3 linked regions of the Lonchura striata genome follow. The protein of the gene in region 1 purifies or fractionates together with the protein of each later gene. This does not show direct contact. Links are inferred from orthologs where the notes say so. Each region holds a gene or a part of one and is shown in the gene's direction. Other genes may lie near its edges. The genes, in order: KRR1, DDX24 and GNL2.

Region 1 (7,511 bases):
TCTAAAGCTGATGGGACCAAATGCTTTCTCATCCCTACTTGACCCTCTTCCCCTCTGAGGCTTTGGACCACTATAACGATTTAGCCGTTTTCTTCCACTGTCCTCCTCAGGCCCCTGCCTTTGTCCTCCCTAGCTTCCAATACACCTACCCCTGACCAGCACTCACCCTCACTCTCATTTTTACTCCCCTGTGTCTATCTCAGAGGTCCTGCTGCAGCTTGCCTTGGTCTGGTGTTTGCTTTCTGATAATTCACAGAGGCTCAAGTCAAGACAAAAGCCTCATTCTGTCAGTCACTGTATGAATACATGATTAGGCACATTCCCTGCTCCAAAGACCTCTTATCTAAACTTGCTGGTTTGATTTCATGACACTAAATTCCTTTCCCAGTTTGGCTCTCATCCTTTTCTTGTCCCTAAACTGACAGCAATTTTATTGCAAGCAAGTAATTTCCCAGACACAGCTATGGTCTCTTTTACCCATAGGTTCTTTCTTCTTATTCTGGGTTCTTCTTTCTGCCACAAATTATCTTTGCTTTGCTATTCCAGTCAGGCCTTTAAGATGCATTTATGGTTTACAGTCCTCTAATTTTCCAGATCCTTGTTACTCTTAGGGTTCAGCAGGAACTGTCCTCTCTGCTCTCTTTCAAAGGGAAAGATGAACTCTGCTTGCTGGGGCATTTCCTGAGCTTTCCACAGAGAAGACAGCAGCCCCACCTCAGTGTGTTCCTGCCAGGCCAGTTTGCAGTGGACACCAATACCATAATCTATGAGCACCTCTGCAGATCAATGGATTCCACAGCAAAGACAAGAACAAAACAAAACCAGAGAAGTGACTCACACCAGTGCCCAGAGAGATAAAGGAAGAAAGAGAGGGAGACAGAGAAATGACACCACAACCTCATCTGCCTGAGGGCACAGAGGTCATGTTAGCCAGGGAATTAAACAAAATGAACTTTGCTGAGGGTGGCTGGGCAGGATGAGTTTCTGTTTGATTATTTAATTCTTCCAGGCTACCTCCAGGGTCAGGTTACCTAATTTTATTTCAATAATGAAAGTATTATGAAAAAGAAATTATATGAGATTATTTATTTTCCATCCAATCCAATGAATTGGTTTTGGTGGCTAGTTTGAATGCTATTTTGACCACTTGACAGGTTTTATACAAAATACCTGGTAATTTAAGATCCTGTTACACCAGCAGAAAATCTCACTTACCCATGTGTCTCCTGCCCTGTTGTAAACCAAAAGAATTAAGAACACCCTAAGCCAATTCTCTATTTGTTTGAATCTGTAGTTATTCGAAAACAATTGTCTAGTTATTTGAATCAAAAGGCAGTATTGATTATTTAATTATATAGAAATTATCCAGATGCTTAGCATTTACTACAGATTCATGACTATCCCAGAGCAGTTAAATGCCCTTCTTGCTGCCATCAACAAAAGCTACTTATTAATCCCTAGAAAATGGCTTGCTAACAATCATAAACTGCTGTTAAAAGTTGATAAATAGATAAAAGTGTCACATGGATTTATGAATGCTAAGGCTGAATGGGATCTGTGTGATGTTTCTAGCAAATTAATGCCATGTGCAGGAGCTCATCTGATTGCTTGAATTATCAAAAAATCCCAAGTTGCTCTTTTGGATTGGAAAATGGCACACAAGAAAGTGCCAAGTGGCTGGAGTCCTAGCTACTGACTGGGAAATAATTTGCTGCATAATAAAGAGGCACCTTCCTTCTAACAGCAGTGCTCTGCCCTATTTATTGTATCATATAAATGTGTGTAAGGGAGGCTGTGTTGTTTCACTTTTTTTTTAAGAGGAAAAAACATTTGCACATAGACACACACACACAGAGCTGAGCCAGCTCCTCCCAGGTACAGCAATGGCTCCAGCAGGTGTTGGGTTTTGCTAGACTAGGATTTGTACTATTCAGACAAAGGTCTTCGAGACCTCTGAGAAGGTCTCTCCATGCCCTTCTTCGGGAAGGTCTCTCCATCTTCTACCCACACTGAGCTGGATAGAACAATGAACATGATAAGTGCTGTCAGTGAAAGGTGGTTTTGGAAAACGTTGCTCCTGGGAGGGCATGCAGACCCTGGGGGAAGGGGTGGTGGAGGGCAGGGATTTACAGCATGCAGCAGCACAGCATTCCCCCCACATGTGGTAACTGTGCCCCACCACTGCAGAGGCACTCACGCTGTCCCTCCTGCCTGGGAGGGAGCTCAGCTTCAAACCAGTGTGCAGAGGACCCTGGTCCTGAGGGGTTGCAGAATCCTCGTCCCAGTCACCTGGACAGCAGTGTCAGTCCCTGTCCCCTCAGTACCCATTGTCCCTGTAGCTAGCTGTCATCAGCTTCCTAACCCCACTGAATGAGCAGTAGCTGGTTATTGCATTTGAGCTGTGAATAGTAAAAATTATATACACATGCATTGTCTGGAGAAGAAGAGCAGGTCTGTGGGAACATCCTGATCCTATTAGGAATTTAGGGAAGTGGCTTCCTTGTATCCAGCCAGACTGCAGATACTGAGGTAAGAGGAGAGATGAGAAATTACTGTCTCCTTCAAAGAATCAGAGGTGGGGACCTGAGGACCCTTCTCAAATCACATCTTCCAAGTTTGTTAGCATTACTGCCTCTATTTTCTGTTATTTTCAGTGTATCTGTGTTAATCAGGCAAAGAGACATTTCAGAGCAGCACTGGACAACAGAGGGTTGCCCATCGTTAGAAAAGAACTCACAAGGCCCCAGTCCCCTGCCCCTTACCCCACACACCATTCACTTCTCCTCCAGCACAGGGCCTCGGGGGCTCGGTAAATCCCCTGGAGCAGCAGCTGGCCAAGGGGCTGGGATGCAGGAGAGGAGAGGGCACATAAATGGGCTGTCGCTGCCACTCAGAGGTGTGGGATGTACCTGTGCAGCAAGACACTACTCTGGAGGTTGGCAGGCTGGAGGTTGCAGCCTGTAATTTTTATTCACACTCAACACTCTATGGATGTTGAGTGTGAATAGCAGCCTCTGTAACTCCCTCCTCTCATCCCATCAGGAGGCTTACTCCCACTGCCCAGCGCTGAGGGCATGCCCCTTCCACAGACCACTCCCGTGATTTTTTTGGCGGGCTGCACCACAGGAGTCGCCAGGCACTAAACAGGAGCAGAAGTAAACTAAGCATCCCCCCTCAAACTATTTCCAAATCAGCTTTGCTGTGCTTTCACACCGCGTGGCCAGGTTTCAGGTGGGAGAGACGCACACTGTGCGCTTCACTGCGCCGCCCCCCCAGGATCCCCGCCCCTCCCTTCGCATCCACCGGGTGCCCGTAGCCGGGCAGAACCCCCTCCTGTGCTCAAAGGCTTTTGCAGCGCTGGGGAATACCCGGCAAGCAGCCCCAGAAAGCTTCTGTGCCCAAGAGGTGAGAGGGGCAAATTTGCCTCCCCGAGCTCCTCCAGGGCTACGGAGCTTTTCGGTGTCAATGGCATTCGGCCTCCAAAGCCCGGTGCCGGGCGGGGCGGGGCTGCGTGGGCAGAGGGGGAGCACATCCCCAGCGCCTCCCTCCCTCGCTCCCGGTCCCGCCCGGGCGCTCCGCTGAGCGCGGCGGCCGTGCCATCTAGCGGGAGCGGGGATGGACACCCTGCTCCCAGAGCACCGCCGGCACCCCCTGCCGACGGCCTCCAGGGCTCCCCTTTCAGCTTCTTTCCTCTTCGGGAACCGCTCCCGCCCCTGCTCGAAGGATGTTGACAGAAATTAACGTCAATGGCTAAAAGCCTGCATCAATTCGATGTCAAGCTGCAGACAGCAAGGACCTGGCAGGTCCTGTTTGTTGTGGGAGATGGGGGTGCGCAAAGGGCTGGCAGATGGAGCAGGCAAGGAAAAAGAGTTCCGTAGGAAAGGTTTTAGGAGGGTCAAAACTGATTTTTAAATTAATATTTTACTCAGGTACAGATCAGGTGATAGAAATGTCTTTCTCATCATTTAGGTAATTAAATGTCATAGAGTGCCGGTTTTTATGAACAGATGCGGTGAACACCTGCCAAAGAAACCACCGTCCTGTCTCGGAGTGTTCTTGCTCTTAAAGATCCGCCAGTTTTTCACCCCATTGGCTTTTCATGGCCTCCACAAAAGAGAGCGAAGGAGGCGCATTCTTGCTCTTTCATTGAAGGAAACGCTCAGTTACAGGTACAAGAAAAGGCATGGAGGAGGATGCAGAGCATCGCCCAGAAAACCTTAAACTACTTATTTACTATCCAGATTAATCGACTGAACAGTAAGTAATTAATCTGGAAAGCCAGGTGTCCCCGGGAAGCGCTTTTCTCCAGGTACGAGAGCGGAGCAGGCGGGCACTCCGCCCCGCCCCTCGCGCAGCGCGGGGCCAGTTCCGCGCGCCGCCCCGCCCCGCCCTTCCGCCGCGCGGACATGGCGGCCGAGCCCCAGGAGGAGGCCGAGCCCCAGGAGGAGGCCGCGCCCGGCCCGGGCCCCAAGCGCAGAGACAAGCACAAGAACAAGAACAAGAAGAAAGCGGCGCCAGGTGAGGGCGGCATGCGGGACTGGCGGCTGGCCGGGAGGGCCGCGGGGGCCTCCGTGGGGCGCTGCAGAGAGTACAGGCGGGTGGGTGCTTGGGGCCGGCAGCGGCGGTGCCGTGCTGCGGTGCTCCTGCCGTCGAGGTACTCGGCTTCCTCGCCTCAGTCTGTGCCTTGTTCCTGTGTAATATACTTGAGTAATCGTCTTGTATATGCCAGATCAACAGCGCATATCTCAGCTGCGGATTTCTTCTTTTTTTTTTTTCTTCAATATAAAGACTTTAAGGCAGTAATTTTTCTAAGATCAGAAGATATATGCAAACCGCACTTAACAGTATAGTTAATATAGTTACATTAACTATACTGTTAATATAATCTTCTTATAACAATGGCTTTTTTATATAATAATCTTCTTATAGCAGTGACTTTTTTTTTTCTTTTTAATAGCAGTTGATGAATCTGAACTCCTCACTGTGCCAGATGGATGGAAAGAGCCAGCCTTTACAAGAGAGGATAATCCCAGAGGGCTACTGGAAGAAAGCAGTTTTGCAACATTGTTCCCAAAGTATAGAGAAGCATACTTGAAAGAGTGCTGGCCACTTGTCCAGAAAGCCTTGGGTGAACATGTATGAACTCTTAATCATTGTGGTACTGCACTTTACATTTTGGGACATACAGGTCTTACTTAAGCTAATAAAAACGGTGCAAGTTGCTTTTCTCATGCCATGTTTGTAAATTTCTACTGTGCTTGCATCTTAAATTAGCAGTGTCATTTTTTGTCATCAAAATCGGTGAAGAGCTGCATAGCCAGACTTGCAGTTCTTTACAAATGCTGTCAGCAAAGTATTTGCAGTAGCAAATATCTCATCATCCAAGTACTGACAGCTTTATTGTGCTTGAAATCAGGAAGATAAGAGAGGTGGTGCTTGGGGCCTTATGACACATATAAAGTCAGGGTTTTGTCTCTCTGTGTGAATTTTCTTAAACTAAAAGTCACTTTAGAAATCTTGGAAAATAGATCTGCATTCAGTTAGTTAACTGCTTACTACCAAAGCTGAATTGTGATATTGAACTGGTGTTTCTTTTCAAATATTGTAGTATGTGAAAGCAGCGCTGGATCTAATTGAGGGAAGCATGACTGTCACTACCACTAAGAAGACTTTTGATCCGTATGCAATCATTAGGGCTAGAGACTTAATAAAACTTCTGGCAAGAAGCGTTCCATTTGAGCAGGTCTGTAATAAATCCTGAAAGTTTTTATCCATCATGATGCTTATATTTTGTCTTAAATTCTATTATAATATTATACTTAAATTCTATCATAGTACTTATAAAATACTAAGTTTTAAAAATGTGGGCATTTAAAGTGAGTCAAGTAAAAGAAAACATTAAAAGTAAATATATCTGAAAGTAAAGGTAGAAGAATAAACTGAAGTATTCTCTTGACTCTTTTGATTAATACATTTGAATTCAGATGACATTGCCTGCATTTCTTTAGGCAGTTCGTATCCTTCAGGATGATGTTGCATGTGACATCATTAAGATAGGCTCTCTGGTGAGGAAGAGAGAGACTTTTATAAAAAGAAGAGCACGACTTCTTGGGCCAAAAGGATCTACTCTGAAGGTATTTCCTATAGGTGTAGTAACCACACAATATTGAGACCCAAATTTGTGTTAGGTCTTAATATAATACTAATTTCTTTTCTTTTTTTTTTTGGTGTAGGCCCTGGAACTGTTAACAAACTGTTATATTATGGTGCAAGGCAACACTGTTTCAGCTCTTGGACCCTTTAGTGGGCTAAAAGAGGTAAGTTGAGGTAGATGAGCCATTTGTGTAGCAAACAAATTTCTGTGCCAAGCTCGAGGGTGGACGATACACAAAATCTCTCAACCTCAGCGGTATCTCACTGACTTTTCAGCTGTCTGTTAGTAAGCTACATTTACATGAACGTCCATAGTATTAGCATCTTAGCTGCTGAGTTTTCTTTAGACTCCAAGATCTTTCTGTCTTGGCAAAAAAAAGCATCTGTATGTATTTTAATAACTATGTGAGAGAAGAATGCTTATCAAAAGCAAGTTTCTCATGACACCATAAGATCCATGGTAACATGAAAATAATGTTTGTGGGGCCTCCTGGAGTCTATTAGAAGCATGACAATAGTATTGGCATTTTTTAATTCCTTCTGGTTAAACCCTGTGCTTTAGCTTTTTAAAGGCTGGAATCAATGATCTTGGAGAGCTTCTCCAACCATAATGGTTCTGTAATTTTAATTCTTACTATTTTGGTGAGGCAGAGGCAGGAAGAGGAAGCACAATATTTTATAGGTGATATTTTAAGTGATTAGCATATGAAATACTTGATGAGCTTTCTGTTCTTCTTTTGTATTTAATACAGGTTAGAAAAGTTGTTCTGGACACAATGAAGAATATACATCCCATATATAACATCAAGGTTAGCATGGTCCACTGTGCATCTTTATTTACAAGAAAATGCTATTTATTCCCAGAGGGTTGTATGTTAAAAATTTAGATGTTTCTGTGTGGTAATCTATTTTGACGATTTCTGTAGTGTGCTGCTCTATAAAACCTAGTGACTTTGATAAACTTCATTGTACTAGAATGCATTGCCATAACACCATCATGGCAGCATCTGCAAAATCAAAGGAAGAGTTTATACAAACTTTCTACTTTGATTCTTGGCTCGATACTTGCACATTTAAACTGAAGCGCCTTCTCCAGTGCATTCTGTCCCTGTTTTGAGACCTCTTTCTGGTTCTGCTGTTCATAATTAAGCCCCTCTGCTCTTACTGAAGTGAGATATGGAAGTTTTGAATGTAGCATATTCACTCTAAGAAAGTCATGTAAACTTCTGTTTTGGATTTCTTGGCCTCTACTGTAATACTGTTTGTCTTCATAACTTCTTTGTGATGTTCTGAAACCACTGAAGACTTTGATGATCAAACGGGAATTAGCAAAAGATCCTGAACTGAGGACACAAAGT
Region 2 (8,189 bases), on another chromosome or scaffold:
GAAACTGAAGATTTCCTACATAAAATTACTGTTGGTGAGTTTACCAAGTTTCTTCTTGTGCTAGTGTCCTTTACCTTATTCTTCCTTTCCAGGTATTTAAAGACTGCAGTCATATCTGCTCCAATCCTGGATTAAAAAAAGCTAAACTCAGAATTTCATTTTCACTTCTAAAACAGGCTCTTCATTCTCCTGACCACCCTAGCAATTCCCATGGCATCTGCTGCACTTTGACTTCACCTCTCCTGAATTAAGGTGATCGGAATATAGTATTGAAAATAAAAAATATCTAGGAAATAATGCCTCTTGCAAAGAATGAATATCTGTACAGGAGTTAGTTTACCAAATATACAACATTGGCAGCTCACAGTTAATCTTATGGTCAATTACTACTGTCATCCACAGTGACCTAAAATTAATTAAGTCCCATCTTAATGATATACATTCTCAGTATTAGCTTTAGCTGAATAGTGCTGTACTTTGGATAATACAATTCATCCAATTATACTGGTCCTCAAGGTCTTTTCAATCGGCCTTGTATCATAATTCTCCTTTGTATTAATAACTGTGTCATCAGCAAATTTAATATTGTATCACAGTTATTCATTAAATAAGAGTAGTCCACAAGACTTCAAGAAACTCAAGCAAACTCCATACAGCTGATAGGTTAATCTATCAATATACACACCAATGTGCTCCCCCAAAAGAAACGTGCATTTCCCTTCCTCTTTAGCCAGCTTCTTTCCCCTTGAAGTTCCATGCTATTCCTTTTTCCCCTATGAAAAATATTTTGAGGTTGTCCAGACAGATTACATGTGCTTTATTTTTCTGCCCAGAAAACCAGTTACCCTCTTAAGGGACATGCCTTGATTTCCCATTTCCCCTTGGTTAACTGTTGTACTACAACACGAAATAACTCACACACTCAATTAGGATGTAAAAGAAGGAAAAGAAGAAGTTTTATTTTTGACTTTGTAATATATAGAATTTTAAAAGTGATAGTGGATTGGAGGAAGAAATTGTTACTTCTCTAACGACACTGGTCAAACTAACAGTCTATTAATTCTCTCATCTCACAAAGGAGAATGAAAAACAATTATTATTTAAATGAACAGTGTGTGAGAACTCTAGTAGAAATATGTAAACATCAGAAGGCATAGAAAACTTCTAAAATAACTTTAAAACTTTTAAAAGAACAGGGCAACAGTTAATCAATATGGACTTGTATTTAATTTCCTGTTATCTTCATAACTTCCTTCAGCATTATTCCCTTGAAGATACATTCTGAAGTATCTAGTGCATCTGACTGCATTTGCAACCATTCCAAATGTTTCTCTCATTAAATGGAGTTGTCTTTGCTATTCTTCAATCACACAGAAAAATCTTCACCTTGATAAATCTGTACTTGAAAAAGTCTTTGGTACTAAAACTAGAGTTAAACATGCCAGTACTCTTAAATTTCATACTTACAGAGTATCTTATTCTCCTGGCTTTATGAACACATTCGCTGAAGGAGCAGCATGCTGTCTGACAAAAGGCTTCATGCAAGTGAGTAAGAAATGCATTTGTGAAGCTGGAAGAACAGAGAGAAAGTAAAAAAAGGCAGCATAGGCAAAGGGGTATGTATTTTCAAATGAGGTTTGACAAATGGTGCTATGCCGTAAGATTTTGTCAGTCCTAGAATAGTATTCCAGAACTTCTGAAAGTGACAACAAAGAAACAAGGCTTTACCTTGCCACTTCAGGACCAGGACAAGCAGCCTCACCTGGCTACATAACGAAAAATAAAAAAGAACAAATTTTACAGTCTGCAAAGCACAGGAGGCATCAGGTCTCCCACTGGCCAGCAGCTGCATGTTCTTCAGGTGCACAGTGCACTGTGAGGATTAATATAAATCACAGTACAGTGACATTCTTTTGTCAGCAGAAATAGCTATCCAAATCAGTAATTAAGCACATACTGACATTCCTGCAAGACACACACAAAAAAAAAAAAAAAAAAAAAAAAAAAAAAGAAACCAAAGAATCTGATTACTAAGTGAAAGCCTACATCAGTTGCTGACACGCACATTTAACTGTTCCTCGTGCTGAATTCAGTTACACTAATCCCAAAATTAAAGAATTAAAGGTACTGGTCAAAACATTCTCTGCCTTAAGCATTCTTAGGAGAAGTCTTCACTATTTTATAAAAAAATCAAAATATTAATTGAAAAAACATATAGTATCTATTATGTAATACTGCACAGAAGGGACCAAACCACAATCCCTGGGCTACTGATCTGCAGGAATGTAAATTTACAGCTGGGAAGAACAGGATCTGTTACCAGGTAAAACTCTGTAATGAGGACATCAAACCCTTCAAGTTCTCTTGGGCTCTCAGGCATACTGGCTTAAATACCTTGGAAACTATTGATAAAGTAATAAAATATGCATGCACTGACATGAGTTATGCAAGCAAATGACATAATTCCTTAACTTATTAACACGGGTTATTATCTTCAATTTACAATTTCCTTGTATTTAAATAACTGTTGATCTAAAGACGCCCTAGGGGTGTAAAGCAGACCTGTTTCATTTGTCTGATTTGTAGTTTTACCAAGAGTTCACTCTGTACTGTCAATAATGGAATTGTATTTACCAGGAGTTTATCAGCTGACTCTGTTAGGACACGAAGCTGAACTCATTGACAAAGCCTTGTCACAACATACCAAAGCTGGGCCTCTTTCAGGTCACAAAGGCTCAGAAGGATTAATGTTACAAAGGCTTAGAAAGATTACTGCTACTGTAATACTGAGCAAATGTTTAGTTCCCTTGGTTATCCCATTTCAAAGCAACTCAACCAATGGCTCTTGTACAACGAGTTCACACTGTGGCAGTGAGAAAGTCACCACGTCTGTGTAGGCTGTTCTGAAGCTTGTTGCTTCAGGCACGTCCCTTCTTTCAAATTGAGTTGGAGGGCCTATAATTCTGTCCCTCAGTCTAGAATATAGAGCTCAGTACTGATCAAGAAGAAAATCAGCTGCAACCCTCACATGAATTCTTAGAAAAAAAATCAGAATACTCCTATCTCCCATAAAAACATGTCCACAGTTATATTAGAAAGCATAATTCAACATAATTTGGCAAATCATTTCCACATTAAATCTTTCATCAGGACAAAGCTGCAAAGTTCACAACTACAACAGGACACGTAATTATACCTAGGAGTAACAGCTAAGAACTTTTCTGCCCAAGTTTTTTTCATTATTTTTATTCAGTATCGGTGGCAAGTCAACCACACCAAAATTTCAGAGTAATCTGTTTCTTTTGCTTCTGCAAATTTACTTTTGCTTATAGGCAGTAAATAAGAAGAGAGAACATGAAAAATATTGTAAACAAGCTTTTTTGTCACTTGTTTTGAATCTAAGCAACCTGTAGGGAAGGGTACTTTTAATGAAGGAATTAATGAAGAGTGCTGAGACCTCTCCTTAAGGCTGGCATTAGCATGCAGCCCCAGTTCCCATCAGAGAGACAGTCCTGTTGGCCATCACTGCCTCCAGCTCAGTACTACATAAATCAGGTTTGATGGCTGTACTGTAAAAGGTATCAGGTAAAACACGTAAACATGCACACCAAGAAGGGGGAATCTGAACTCTGTAAGTGCCCCAGAGCTGAGGTGGGGTTTTTTGCCACGTGCCAAAGTCCCTGGCTCAGCTCACAGGGCAGCAATGCTCACTGTGAGGGCAGAAGTGACACTGCTCCCTCCTGACTGGCAGCCTGACCTTCCCCTCTCTGCCACAAATCCACTCACCAGGACAACTCCAGCAACGTGTCCTCTCTGCCACAGAAAGAGCTGTTTACTCACTGGGATCTGTTCTACACACAAAAACCAGCAGCACTATCTCCATCTCCAAAGGCACGTTGCCCTGGTATTTCTATGTGGGAAGAACAGTATTTTGCACATTTTTGGGGGAGATTTCTAAGTATTTGAGACATGTTTAATGTGCACAAGACATATTTACAAGCACATAAACTCAAGGGTATGTAAATATTTCTGTCCAGACAAGCCTAGGAAAAATTCTAACAAGACTGAGTAGTGCCAACAAACACACTTAATCCTGCTCTAATAATTAGATAATTAATAAACTACACTGATATATTTTACATTAACTATACCATAAATGAATTACAGGGGAGTTCCTGCTCTCTGAACTCACTTTCTGACTCACTGATTTAAACTCATCTTATACAGAACATCAGGACCAAGCATCAAAAGCTCTTTAGCCTTGCTCATGGAATATGAATTGGAATAAATTCCACATATTGTGCATTGGTAAGTCATTAATTGTTGCTGTGGAGGCAGGATGGGAATGAAAATGACTCTAACATCAGAAGGTAAAGAGTGAAAACCCTTATTAACAACTAGTGTTCTTCTTTTATAACCAAGGTCGCTAAGGTGAAATATGATTGGTCTCAGGTGAAAACTTTTCACACCATTGGTGCACTATGAATAGCACACGGTAGCAGAACATATCTATAAGCAACATGAACAGAAAGAGGTAACAAGTAGTTTACATTCCTCTCGGACTTTTTCCCAGGCTTAGCCTGGCAGAAATCTCTCCTTTTCTCTCTGACTGAACTGAGAGCATCCATAATTAATGACTACCTGGAACTGAAAAAAAAAAAAAAAAAAAAAAAAAAAAAAGGTAGAGAAAACAACCATCTGTTTTCCCATCTTCTCGCAAAGCCGGGAAAGACCTGCAAATACCAAGTAGAAGAAATAATTGTAAGTGTTGCTGTAATTGTACTCGAACATACTGTCGCAGTCCCTATCACCCACAAAGCTCGTGGTTTTTAACTCTCTCCCCGCCTCACAGCAAGACGCTCTTCTGAACATCAGCCAGCCCTTTATAAGAAATAAGAACCATCCATTACAACTTATTTCGCTGTCTTTCTACGGCACGATACGGCTGGGAAGCGCATGGATCACACAAGAGGTACAAAGAGCCTTGCCGCGACCTCGGTGGCGCTCGCTCCTTCCCTGCAGCTATTTGCAACACGTAACTCCACCCGCAAAAGGCATTAACACAAGAGCACACCAGCGAGCGCGAAGAACAAGCCTCGGTCACTGCCGGGGCAGTGCCGCTGAGGCGCAGCCGAGGGCGCGGGTCCAGACCCGGCTCCGGGCCGCCATTCCCGCGGCCGCTCCCTCAGGATCGCTCCCGGCCGGCGCCGCGCCTGACGCCGCGCGCCCGTGACGTCGCTCGCCAGTGACGTCGCTCGCCAGTGACGTCACGCAGCAATGGCGGCGCCCAGGGGCGCACGCGGAGGGTGGCGGCGGTAGCGGCAGCCGGGCCGGGGATCCCGCTCCGCTCCCCTCTCCGCTCCCCTCTCGGCTCCTCTCGGCCCCTCTCCGCCCCGGGGCTCCTGAGCGCGGTAAGCGCCGCGCGGGCCGCAAGGAGCAAGTGCCCGGAGCTCCCGCGTGTGGCGGCGGAGGCCGTGCTGGGCCCGCCGCGGCTCCGGTGGTTCCCGGGGCGGGAGCGCTGCGCGGCCTGCTGCGGGGATTTATCCAGCGGCTCTGCTTGTATCTCTGGAGGTGTTCCAGGAGGGACGCAGGAGGCCTGGCCTGCCTGTTGTATTTAGTTATGTTATAGTTATATTTAGTTATATTACAGTTATATTATTATAGTTATAGTTATGTTTAGTTAGTTATATTATTGTATTATAGTTGTTTAGTTAGTTATATTATATTATTGTATTATAGTTGTTTAGTTGTTATAGTTGTTATAGTATATATTATAGCTGTTATAGTATTATATATTAATAGTTGTTACAGTTATATTTAGTTATTTAGCTATATTATAGTTTGTTATACTTTAGCTATATATATGCTAGCTCGAAGTAATATATAAGTAATGATACTGATATAATTAAAGAAGAAATAAGAATACTATATTATATCTTGAGAAATATATTTTAAGAAGAAACAATTATTCCCTGGGCTCCCGTTTGCTTGAATATCAAGGTGGTCTCCAGTCCTTGTATTTGAAGACTCTTTTTTTTTTTTTGCCTCCCTTGGTTTCTTTTTTTAGATAAAAAATGAAGGCCAGAAAAGGAGGAAGATTTAGGTCTTCCTTTAAATTGAAGCGAAAAGGCATTGAAGTAGTAGGAGAATGGAAAACCGTGCAGATTGACCCCAATCTATTTGCTGAGGAGGAGTTTCGAGATATAGTGTGCTTGGAGGAACTCACAGACTATAAGTTAGTAAGTTCTTCCAAAGTGGGGAAAGTAAAAGAGAAGAGAAAGGCTGAGACTGCTTCTGAAGAAGGCAATGAGGAGGTGGAAGAACCTGTTGTCCCTCCAAAAAGGAAAAAGAAAAACAAAGATTTGAGAAGCCAAACAGATAAAGACAATACTCATAATGCAGCAGAAATGGATGTGCTGGTTGCTAAAGAGGCAAGGTGTAATGAAATAATTGAAGAAGCTAATTGTGAAGACCATGGACCAGTGACTGAGAGCATGTCAAGCAGAAGAGACACTACAAAGAAGAAGAAAAAGAAGGTACCTAAAAACAAGGCTTTTCAAGCACAGGAAGCCCTTCCATCAGTAGCTACTTCTAAAAAAGTCAAAAACTGGACAACAGAAGTTTTATCTGCCTCAACTGATCAAAAAGCTGATGTGTCTGCATGGAAAGACCTGTTTGTACCTGAGCCAGTGTTGCAGGCGTTGAGCTACCTGGGGTTTAGTGCTCCAACTCCCATTCAAGCCTTAGCCTTGCCTTCTGCCATTCGGGATAATATGGATGTTCTTGGTGCTGCAGAAACAGGTACAAGTCTGTTTAGCTGATGGTGTATGCTGGGAGCATCCAGTTTCTTTTCTTAAAACGTAGCCTATGGTTGCAAGTTTTTATATGCAGAAGAAGCAGTTTTTCAGTATTGTAAGAGAAGAGCTTTTGTCTTTTGCATTTACAGTGTATTAGAGTTTTCAATCTTTGAAACTTACATGTTTGTAAACATTGGGATTTAGAGGTTCATAAACTTACATGGTTAAACTTACATGTTTGTAAACAATGGGGACTCCCATCTTTACAAAGCATGCAAAGCTTTGCAGTCTCAACGAGTTTCTGTGCTTTTGGCAGAAGTCTCTTTTCCTGTTTCTCAGACTGTTTCCTGTTTTGGGAATGGTAAGGTGATATTCTGCAAAAGGCAGAATTAATGAAGCAAACAGGGTCGTTTCTGCAGCAGCCAAGCACGTGCTCCCAGGTTCCCGTGGAGATAATTCATGCTGGTGTGGAGCAGTAATAAGCACTGGGCACAATGTTAAGTGTGAATATGACCCAGGTCCTACTCAGAGCAAAACGGGCCCACCCTGTGCTCTGCCCCCAGGCTTTACCTTTATGTTGTCACCAGCCCTTCTCCCTGCTTGTGCTTAAAGTGAGTTCTTACATTAATGATTTGAGGGGTAGAGTCATGTCCATCGTGTGCTCAGCTTATGCTTCAAGTATTCCTAGCCTTCATGAAATTTATTATAGCTACTTGTTTACTTAATGCTATGAAGTCTCTGAAAATTATGTTCCCTCAAACTTTGTTGGTGGTTCATAGCGTTGAACTTTTGTCTTTAGCAACATTTTTTTCCCCAAAACACCTAGAAATAGGAAGCACAATTAGAAGCTACCTTGGTTAAAAAGCTTCCCTTACACTGTTTTAATCTGTTCCAGTTGCTTTATCTCAGTGCTTCTATGTAAAGTCATTTACTGCTCTACAGCAAGAAGGTAACTAAGATATGCAGTCATTTGCATTTTTATTTTAATTAGAAGCTGTGTTGATACTATTAGCTTTAGTAAGATTAGAAAGCCCCCGCAGGGAGTGTTTTTAAAAATGGAACTGAAAATTTAAATGATGTTTTTGTACTGCAAAAAACTGCCATTTTGGCAGCACTGGTAAGCAAATTCCTCTCTAGCTGCAGAATGGAAAGCAGGGTTGTTGGCAGGCTGTGTTGTTGCTTTATAATTTTGTATAACCCTGAGGTAGTAGGAATGTGTTTTGCTCATTTATCTTTCATGAGTGAAATCCAGATTCTCTCCAGAGAGTCCATGGGATCATTGTATTTCTGTAGAAACTTAGGAGATGTGGACAGCTGCCTTCAGGAAGTGCTGCAGTTGGGAGAGGTTGAAACTCTCTAGTTCTTTTTTCTGCATCCTGCAGCACCTCTTAG
Region 3 (7,334 bases), on another chromosome or scaffold:
CAGCTCAGAATCTGCAGGATGGTTTCTAGCCTGTTTCCTCAGATTTTGAGCAATACATCCCATGCCATGGGGGGAACAAAGGGCCAGGAATAATGGACAGCTTGCAGTCGTGGGTTTGGAATTGTTTCATTTCTCTCTTATTTGCTGAGATTTGGAACCTAAAGAAGATGAATGTCACCAAACACACGTTGGTTCTACCACATTCTTAATCCTCTCTGGGTAATATAAATCTGTATTTTTCATCATCTACAGTCAATGAACTGTGTGCACACACACTACTCACACAGTAATTCACTGACTTTCCACCCCCAGAGAGGTGGAGGTAATGTATATACTCCTTAGCCCATGTTTATGTTTGAATGATTTCTCACTCAGGAGAAATCTTAGCTTTGATTAAAGGAAACAAAGAAGGATAGTGAAAGAGGTTATCTCCAAAACTATTGTTTGGATTACATTGTCTGAGAACACTAACAGGAATAATTCAAATATATATTTACATATTTTATGAAGTCAATATACTTCACAGATAGAAATGACAGGCATCACATTTACAAAACCTACATTAAAAGTACAGAAATACCAATTTCATTTAATCAGTCACCACCAATAAATCACCCTGATGGCATTTCTGTACATGGTAATACATCACACCCAACTGAATGCCAAACCATCGTTAGGATGGAGCTGCTTGCTGGAAATTTCCAGGATTTTTGAAGAACAGGAAAAGAGAGGCAGCTAGGAAGGTGGTGTATTGTCATTTCCAGCCTGAGGTAAAGCGCTGGTTTGGAGGCACTGACAGGGCCACAGAGGAGCCCGTAAGGGCAGGAGTTACTTTCCATGGCTGTTCAAATCAAACCACAGGAAAATGTTCTCTTGAGCTGCTTTACCCACGGGAGCACCGGTGCACCCCAGACCCGTGGGGCTGGCAGATGTGCCCAGGGTGAAGCCCAGGGCTCTGCAGCCCAGCTCTGAGCCCCCCAGGCTCAGCCTGGCCTCTCAAAGCCCTCTTACACCTTTCTGCCTTTTTTCTTGACTTCAGTTTCCTCCTCCCTCCCGAGCTGCCCTGTTGCTTTCAGTCACCATTTTGGGAACTCCATATTCAAGGCAACAACCCAGGATTACTTTGTGTTTCCTGTCATGTTGCTATAGGACACGAGAAAGCACAACACGAGCCACTGCGATGGCAAGGTAAAAAAGAAGGTTTATTTTCTGACTTCAACTTTTATACTTTTCCAAAGGTGACAGTGGATTGGAGAGTGAATGGGTCACCTCTCCAAAGACATTGTACAAACTACTAATACATCAACTTCTTCCACCCCCACGAAGGAATGCAAAACAATAGGTTGTTTATAGAAAATGTGTGGGAAAGTTTTCTAACAGAATGTAAACTTAGAAGGCTTTAGAAAATCTTAAGAATCAGGGCAACACTGTCACACCTGGAGCCTTTTGCCAAGGAGACCTCCATCCTGCTCCTGCCAGCTGTATCCCTGGGAAGCCATGCCTGGGGAACTGAGCTGGGAAAGCTGCTGTGGTGATAAACTGCCTACAAGATCTTCTGCTGTGATTTTGGAGATGAGCTACAAAATCCACTTGCATCCTTGTGCTCTGCAGGGAACTGCTGCAATAGGGGAAGATGGCTGAGGCTGCTTTATCCTGTTAAATGAAACAGAGGAGCTCAATACCACACTGAAAAAGGGCTCTGAGTGCAAGTCCGATCTTGTTCTGAACTCTTGGAAATCTACTTTTCCTTCATTTAATTGACAAAATCTGTAGATCATACGAGGAAGACATCCCTGCCAAAAATCCAACATCACTAGTTTTTAATAATACAATGGGAATAACCCCTCAGAACATATGTAATTATGGGAATGAGTCATTCCAATGGCATCACGTAACCACATTCACTGGGATTTGACAAAGATGAGGCCACATAAAACTCAAAATGATTTTATTTCAGGCAGTGGTTCTGAGAAGCTGAGGCAACGTAGCAGAGGCGATGGACAACGATCTGTGACCCTGTTGTCCTGGCTGGCTGTGGCCAGGACATGAATGTCGCCAGGAAAGAATGAGAAAAACTAAAGTTTGAAATGGGGGGATGCATCAATAGCAAACTGTGAGTCACAGAGCAACAAAACATCAGTTTAGTGGAGCAAAATATCTGACTCGCACGTTATCAGATCCACAAGCAGCTGCAGCCTCGGGGATGCTGCAAGTTCAACACCAACTGCTGGAATTCGGGTCAGGGGATGTGTGAGAGTGAGGGAAGTGCTGCAGGAAGGTGCCACACGTCCCACACGTTATCAGTAGGATCTCATGACAGAAAATCCAGGTTCATAGCCCACCCCTATGAGCTGGTAAAGGGTCTGAGCCCTCCCACCAATGCCTCCAACCTGGGAATTCAGCACCCAACTCTGGGGCATCCCCAAGACAAGCTCTCCCTGCCACAACCTCCTGCCCAAAGCTGGCTGGGTCTGTTCTCTCACAGAAAAGAGACAGCGACTTTCTGGCTGCTCCCCAAGATCTCTTGCTAACAATGAAGAGGGAGTTTTCTTAAGAGAAAGGAAGAAAGAGCTGGGGAGAGCAGAGCAAAACTATTACTCAACTATTTAGTCTAAAATTTTGAAAATCAAAAGGCTTTTCTGACAGATTGATATCAACTCTAATAGAAAACACACTTGTCCTGGGAAAACTCTTCTGCATGAGCCTCGAGTCTGATAGCTTAAACAATTATCTACAATTTGGAATTGATTTTTTTATGCCCACATCAATGTGTACTTTTTCAATGCCCAAGGCACAGATAATTCTATTAAGAGAAAAACCAGAATGTGTAGGCTTAAGCCAAACAGCCTCCAGCTCCAGACTCAGTCTTACAAAACATGTCCCAAGGCCTGACTCATCATGGCTCCCTTGTACAGCAGGGACTCTACACCTCACAGCAAAACGCTGAAAATCATTAGGAGAACAAAATCCCAGCAGCTCTGTTATTGTTCTGGGTTTAAAGGAGCATTAGCAGCACCAGAAGGACATTGCACTGGCTGGGAATGCTCTGCTGCTAATAAGAGCTGTGTTTTGGGCAAGTATTCCCCAAGGTGCTGAGCTTGGCCCCAGCCCAAGCTCTGCTATCAATTAACACTGTTTCAGCCCAGCTTCGTTCATTTCCCCTAGGTGAGGAGCTTGCAAATTGCTGTTACAATCTGGCAGGAGCAGAACGAGGGCTTACGCCTTGGACACAGAGCTGCACAGATTTGATTTGTTAATGCACCATCCACGCAGTGCTTTGCCCGCACAGGAAAACACGCAGTGCTGTTATTGCTAATTTTTAAAATTCTTTGCCAGTAACCCAGAAAGAACAGCCCCGTGTGCCTGTAAACACCCACCAGCACTGCCTTGTGCTTGAGTCTCTGCTGTAGCAGTGCCCCTCTGGCTGCCTCAGTGTCACACCAGCAGTCCCAGAGTCCTTCCAGCTGCTCAAGTGTCCCACCAGCCACCCCAGTGTCCCATCAGCTGCCCAAGAGTCCCTCCAGCTGTTCAAGTGTCCCTCCAGCTGTTCAAGTGTCCCACCAGCAGCCCCACTGCCCCTCTGGCTGCCTCAGTGTTATTCTGGCAGCCCCAGTGTCCCACCAGCTGTTCAAATATCCCACCAGCAGTCCCAGTGTCAAACCAGCCACCCCAGTGTCCCACCAGCAGTCATCCCAGTGTCCCACCAGCCACTTCATTGTCCCAGCAGCCACCCCAGTGTCAAACCAGCCACCCCAGTGTACCACCAGCAGACCCAATGTCCCAGCAGCCACCCCAGTGTACCACCAGCAGACCCAATGTCCCAGCAGCCACCCCAGTGTACCACCAGCAGTCCCAGTGTCACACCAACCATCCCAGTGTCCCATCAGCAGTCCCAGTGTCCCACCAGCCACCCCAGTGTCACACCAGCCACCAGAGTGTCACATCAGCAGCCCCAGTGTCCCAGCAGCCGCCCCAGTCCATCAGCAGAGGCAGGGAGCTCTCCGGAACGACTCCCATTAACGTGCCAGCGAACAAACACCGCTTCCAAACCATGGGGGCTCCCGTGCCAGCGGCCCCGCCGGGCCTTCCAACAGCCCGCGGGCCGGGGCCGGACCCGGCAGCGGCACTCCGGAGACGGGCAGCGCCACGGCGCGCAGGGACACGGGAGAGGGACACGGGAGAGGGACACGGGGGGACACAAAGGGACACAAAGGGACACAAAGGGACACAAAGGGACCCGGCCGGGCCCGCGCGCTGTTGCCGTGGCAACCGGGCCCGGAAGCGCCGCCTGCGCCGGAAGTGCGTCAGACGCTGCGCGCGCCGGAAGCGCCGCGCGCGTGTCCGCGGCCCGGCCCGAGCGCTCCGGGCCTGTCCCGGCACCGGCACCGAGACCGGCACCCTCACGGCACCGGCACCGAGACCCCCACAGCACCGGCACCGAGAGCGGCACCCTCACGGCACCGGCACCGAGACCCCCACAGCACCGGCACCGAGAGCGGCACCCTCACGGCACCGGCACCGAGACCCCCACAGCACCGGCACCGAGACCGGCACCCTCACGGCACCGGCACCGAGACCCCCACAGCACCGGCACCGAGACCCCCACAGCACCGGCACCGAGACCGGCACCCCCACAGCACCGGCACCGAGACCCCCACAGCACCGGCACCGAGACCCTCACAGTACCGACACCAGCATCGACACCGGCATCGGCACCCCTATAGCACCGATACCGGCACCCACACCAAGACCCCTACAGCACCGGCACCCACACCGGCACCATGGTGAAGCCACGCTACAAGGGCCGCTGCTCCATCAACCCCTCCCGCGCCAGCACCAACCCCGGTACGGGCGGGACCGCGGGCCGGGCGGGCCGAACCGGGCCGGGCCGAGCCGAGCCGAGGCTGATGTTCTCTTGTCTCCGCAGATCGCGTCGGCGGCGAGGGAGGGAACAACATGCGGGACCGAGCGACCATCCGGCGCCTCAACATGTACCGGCAGAAGGAGCGCAGGTGGGCAGCTGAACGTGGCCCGGCCGCGGTCCCGGTACCGGCCGGGCACGGCCGCGCCAGGGACAGGCGACAAAACGCCTGGGTGATGGCACGGCGTGTGTTCTGTAACCCCGTGAGCTGGGAGCCCGGTCCCGAGCCCGATCCCGAGCCTGATCCTGAGTCTGGTCCTGAATCCTGAGCCCGGTCCCGAGCCCGGTCCCGAATCTGATCCCAGCCCAGTCCTGAGCCCAAGCCTGACTCTGATCCCGGGCCCGGTCCCGAGCCCAGTCCCGAGCCTGATCCTGAGTCTGGTCCTGAGCCCGATCCTGAGCCCAGTCCCAAATCTGATCCCGAGCCCGAGCCTGATCGCCAGCCTGCTCCCGAGCCTGATCTTGAGCCTGATCCTGAGCCTGGTCCCAAGCCTGATCCTGAGCCTGGTCCCAATCCCGAGCCTGATCCCGAGCCTGCTCCCGAGCCTGATCTTGAGCCTGATCCTGAGCCTGCTCCCGAGCCTGATCCTGAGCCTGGTCCCGAGCCTGAGCCTGGTCCCAAGTCTGATCCTGAGCCTGGTCCCAATCCTGAGCCTGATCCTGAGCCTGATCCTGAGCCTGCTCCCGAGCCTGATCCTGAGCCTGGTCCCGAGCCTGAGCCTGGTCCCAAGTCTGATCCTGAGCCTGGTCCCAATCCTGAGCCTGATCCCGAGCCTGATCCTGAGCCTGGTCCCAATCCTGAGCCTGATCCCAATTCTGATCCGGAGCCTGGTCCCGAGCCTGGTCCCAAGCCCGATCCTGAGCCCGAGCCCGATTCTGAGTCTGGTCCCAAGCCCGATCCCGAGCCTGATCCCCAGCCTGATCCCGAGCTCTCCCCAGCCCAGGGATATCTCTGGTCCCAGCGATACAGCCGGAAAATACTTGATACATCTGTGTGGAGAGACCCAAAGCACACAGAATTCCCGAATTTCCCAGAGCAGCACAGCTCAAAAGCTGCCCCCAAAACACCTGGAGAGCCTCAGCTCCCCTCAGCACCTCCACAGAGGATCCCCCTGTTCCCCTCTGTGCCACACTGAGAGATCCATGGCAGGGAGCAGCACCCACGAGTCTGTGCCGTGGCAGTTCTGAGAGCCCTGTTTTGCATCAGCACGTTTGGTTTTTTTGCCAAATTTCCCACTGTTTGCAGAGCAGATGGGGGAAGGGATTTTGAGATATTGCTGAATTAAACCAGGTCCCACCCTGTGTCAGCGGGTGAGCAGAACTGGTTAAAAGGCTTTGTGATGGAACACAGTGAGATTTTCCAGAAAACAGCAACTTTTGCAGCCCCAAAAGCCCTTCCTGGGCTGCACCAGCAGCTGCAGGGAGGGTCTGGCCAGGCTGGAGGAGACCACAGGTTGGGATAATTCACCCCCATGGAATGCAGGGCAGCACCACTGCAGGGGAAGGGTCCCTCTGCACTCTGTGCCTCTGCTTCTGGCCCGGTGCACACAGGGGCTGGAGGGGTCACTGCTGCCCTTTGTGCACTGATGTGTCTTCATTTGTCCCCTAGGAACAAGCGTGGCAAAGTGATCAAACCTCTGCAGTTTCAGTCAACCGTGGCGCCAGGCACCGTGGCCAGAGTGGAACCAAATATCAAATGGTTTGGTGAGTTTTGGCCAATTTCCAGGCTCAGCAAGCTTCAAAGCTGTTGAACTTAGGGTGTTGCAAGGTGTTTGTTTCAGAATGGTGGTTTGAGAGTTGTGAGGGAAGGTGAGGGACCCCTGCTGCTGTTGATGCTTTGTGGGGCTACCTAAAAATAGGGGACAGACAAAATTAAGGCAATAAAAAGCAGTTCTATTCATTGAAGGGGTTTCAGGTACATTTCAGGCAGACAAAGCCCGCCCAAGGGGCTACACCCAAAAATGGACAATGGATCACAGGTTTTCATACTTCTAATATGTTTGGTCTATTTGCATATTGGGGGTGCATCTTCCAATTACAGCTTCAGCTAATGAGGTCATTTACCCCAAGTTTGCTCCCCCCAACTCACTTTTGTTTCCATCTCTCAGGGCCTGAGGCAGTGAGGTGTCCTTGATTGCCAGGCCTGGAGAGGAATTGTTGTGTCTGCCCCAAATGGGAAAGCAGCAGCTCACACTGCACGTGGAGTTTGGAGTTATGCACTAAAGAGCTAGAGGATTACAAATAAATGGAAAATAGAAAAGCTCAAATCCTAAGCATCATTTTCCCCCTTGCTTGTACCTGTGCTTTGGGGCTTTGCTTTCCACACACTCCCCTAAGGATGATTATTTTGGCTCCTTTTTTGTTCCCCATGGTTTGCCCATATATATGGCTGTTAAATGTCCTAGAGATACTT

What was found.
Region 2: the proteins of KRR1 (region 1) and DDX24 purify together in Homo sapiens (affinity purification with mass spectrometry; 3 studies listed by BioGRID and IntAct, with this or other methods). This does not show direct contact. The link is inferred for Lonchura striata from reciprocal best matches to the Homo sapiens genes KRR1 and DDX24.
Region 3: the proteins of KRR1 (region 1) and GNL2 purify together in Homo sapiens (affinity purification with mass spectrometry; 3 studies listed by BioGRID and IntAct, with this or other methods). This does not show direct contact. The link is inferred for Lonchura striata from reciprocal best matches to the Homo sapiens genes KRR1 and GNL2.

Annotation. Positions count from the first base shown.
Region 1 is NC_134607.1:46,815,377-46,822,887, reverse strand, and holds the start of KRR1 (KRR1 small subunit processome component homolog), read left to right. Parts: upstream 1-4,382; 5' UTR 4,383-4,406; coding exon 4,407-4,518; intron 4,519-4,957; coding exon 4,958-5,136; intron 5,137-5,608; coding exon 5,609-5,743; intron 5,744-6,008; coding exon 6,009-6,134; intron 6,135-6,233; coding exon 6,234-6,317; intron 6,318-6,905; coding exon 6,906-6,962; intron 6,963-7,457; coding exon 7,458-7,511. UniProt on the Homo sapiens protein: Part of the small subunit (SSU) processome, first precursor of the small eukaryotic ribosomal subunit.
Region 2 is NC_134608.1:15,321,691-15,329,879, forward strand, and holds the start of DDX24 (ATP-dependent RNA helicase DDX24), read left to right. Parts: upstream 1-5,155; 5' UTR 5,156-5,411; intron 5,412-6,067; 5' UTR 6,068-6,074; coding exon 6,075-6,801; intron 6,802-8,189. UniProt on the Homo sapiens protein: ATP-dependent RNA helicase that plays a role in various aspects of RNA metabolism including pre-mRNA splicing and is thereby involved in different biological processes such as cell cycle regulation or innate immunity.
Region 3 is NC_134628.1:4,706,583-4,713,916, reverse strand, and holds the start of GNL2 (nucleolar GTP-binding protein 2), read left to right. Parts: upstream 1-4,303; 5' UTR 4,304-4,781; coding exon 4,782-4,845; intron 4,846-4,927; coding exon 4,928-5,012; intron 5,013-6,530; coding exon 6,531-6,625; intron 6,626-7,334. UniProt on the Homo sapiens protein: GTPase that associates with pre-60S ribosomal subunits in the nucleolus and is required for their nuclear export and maturation.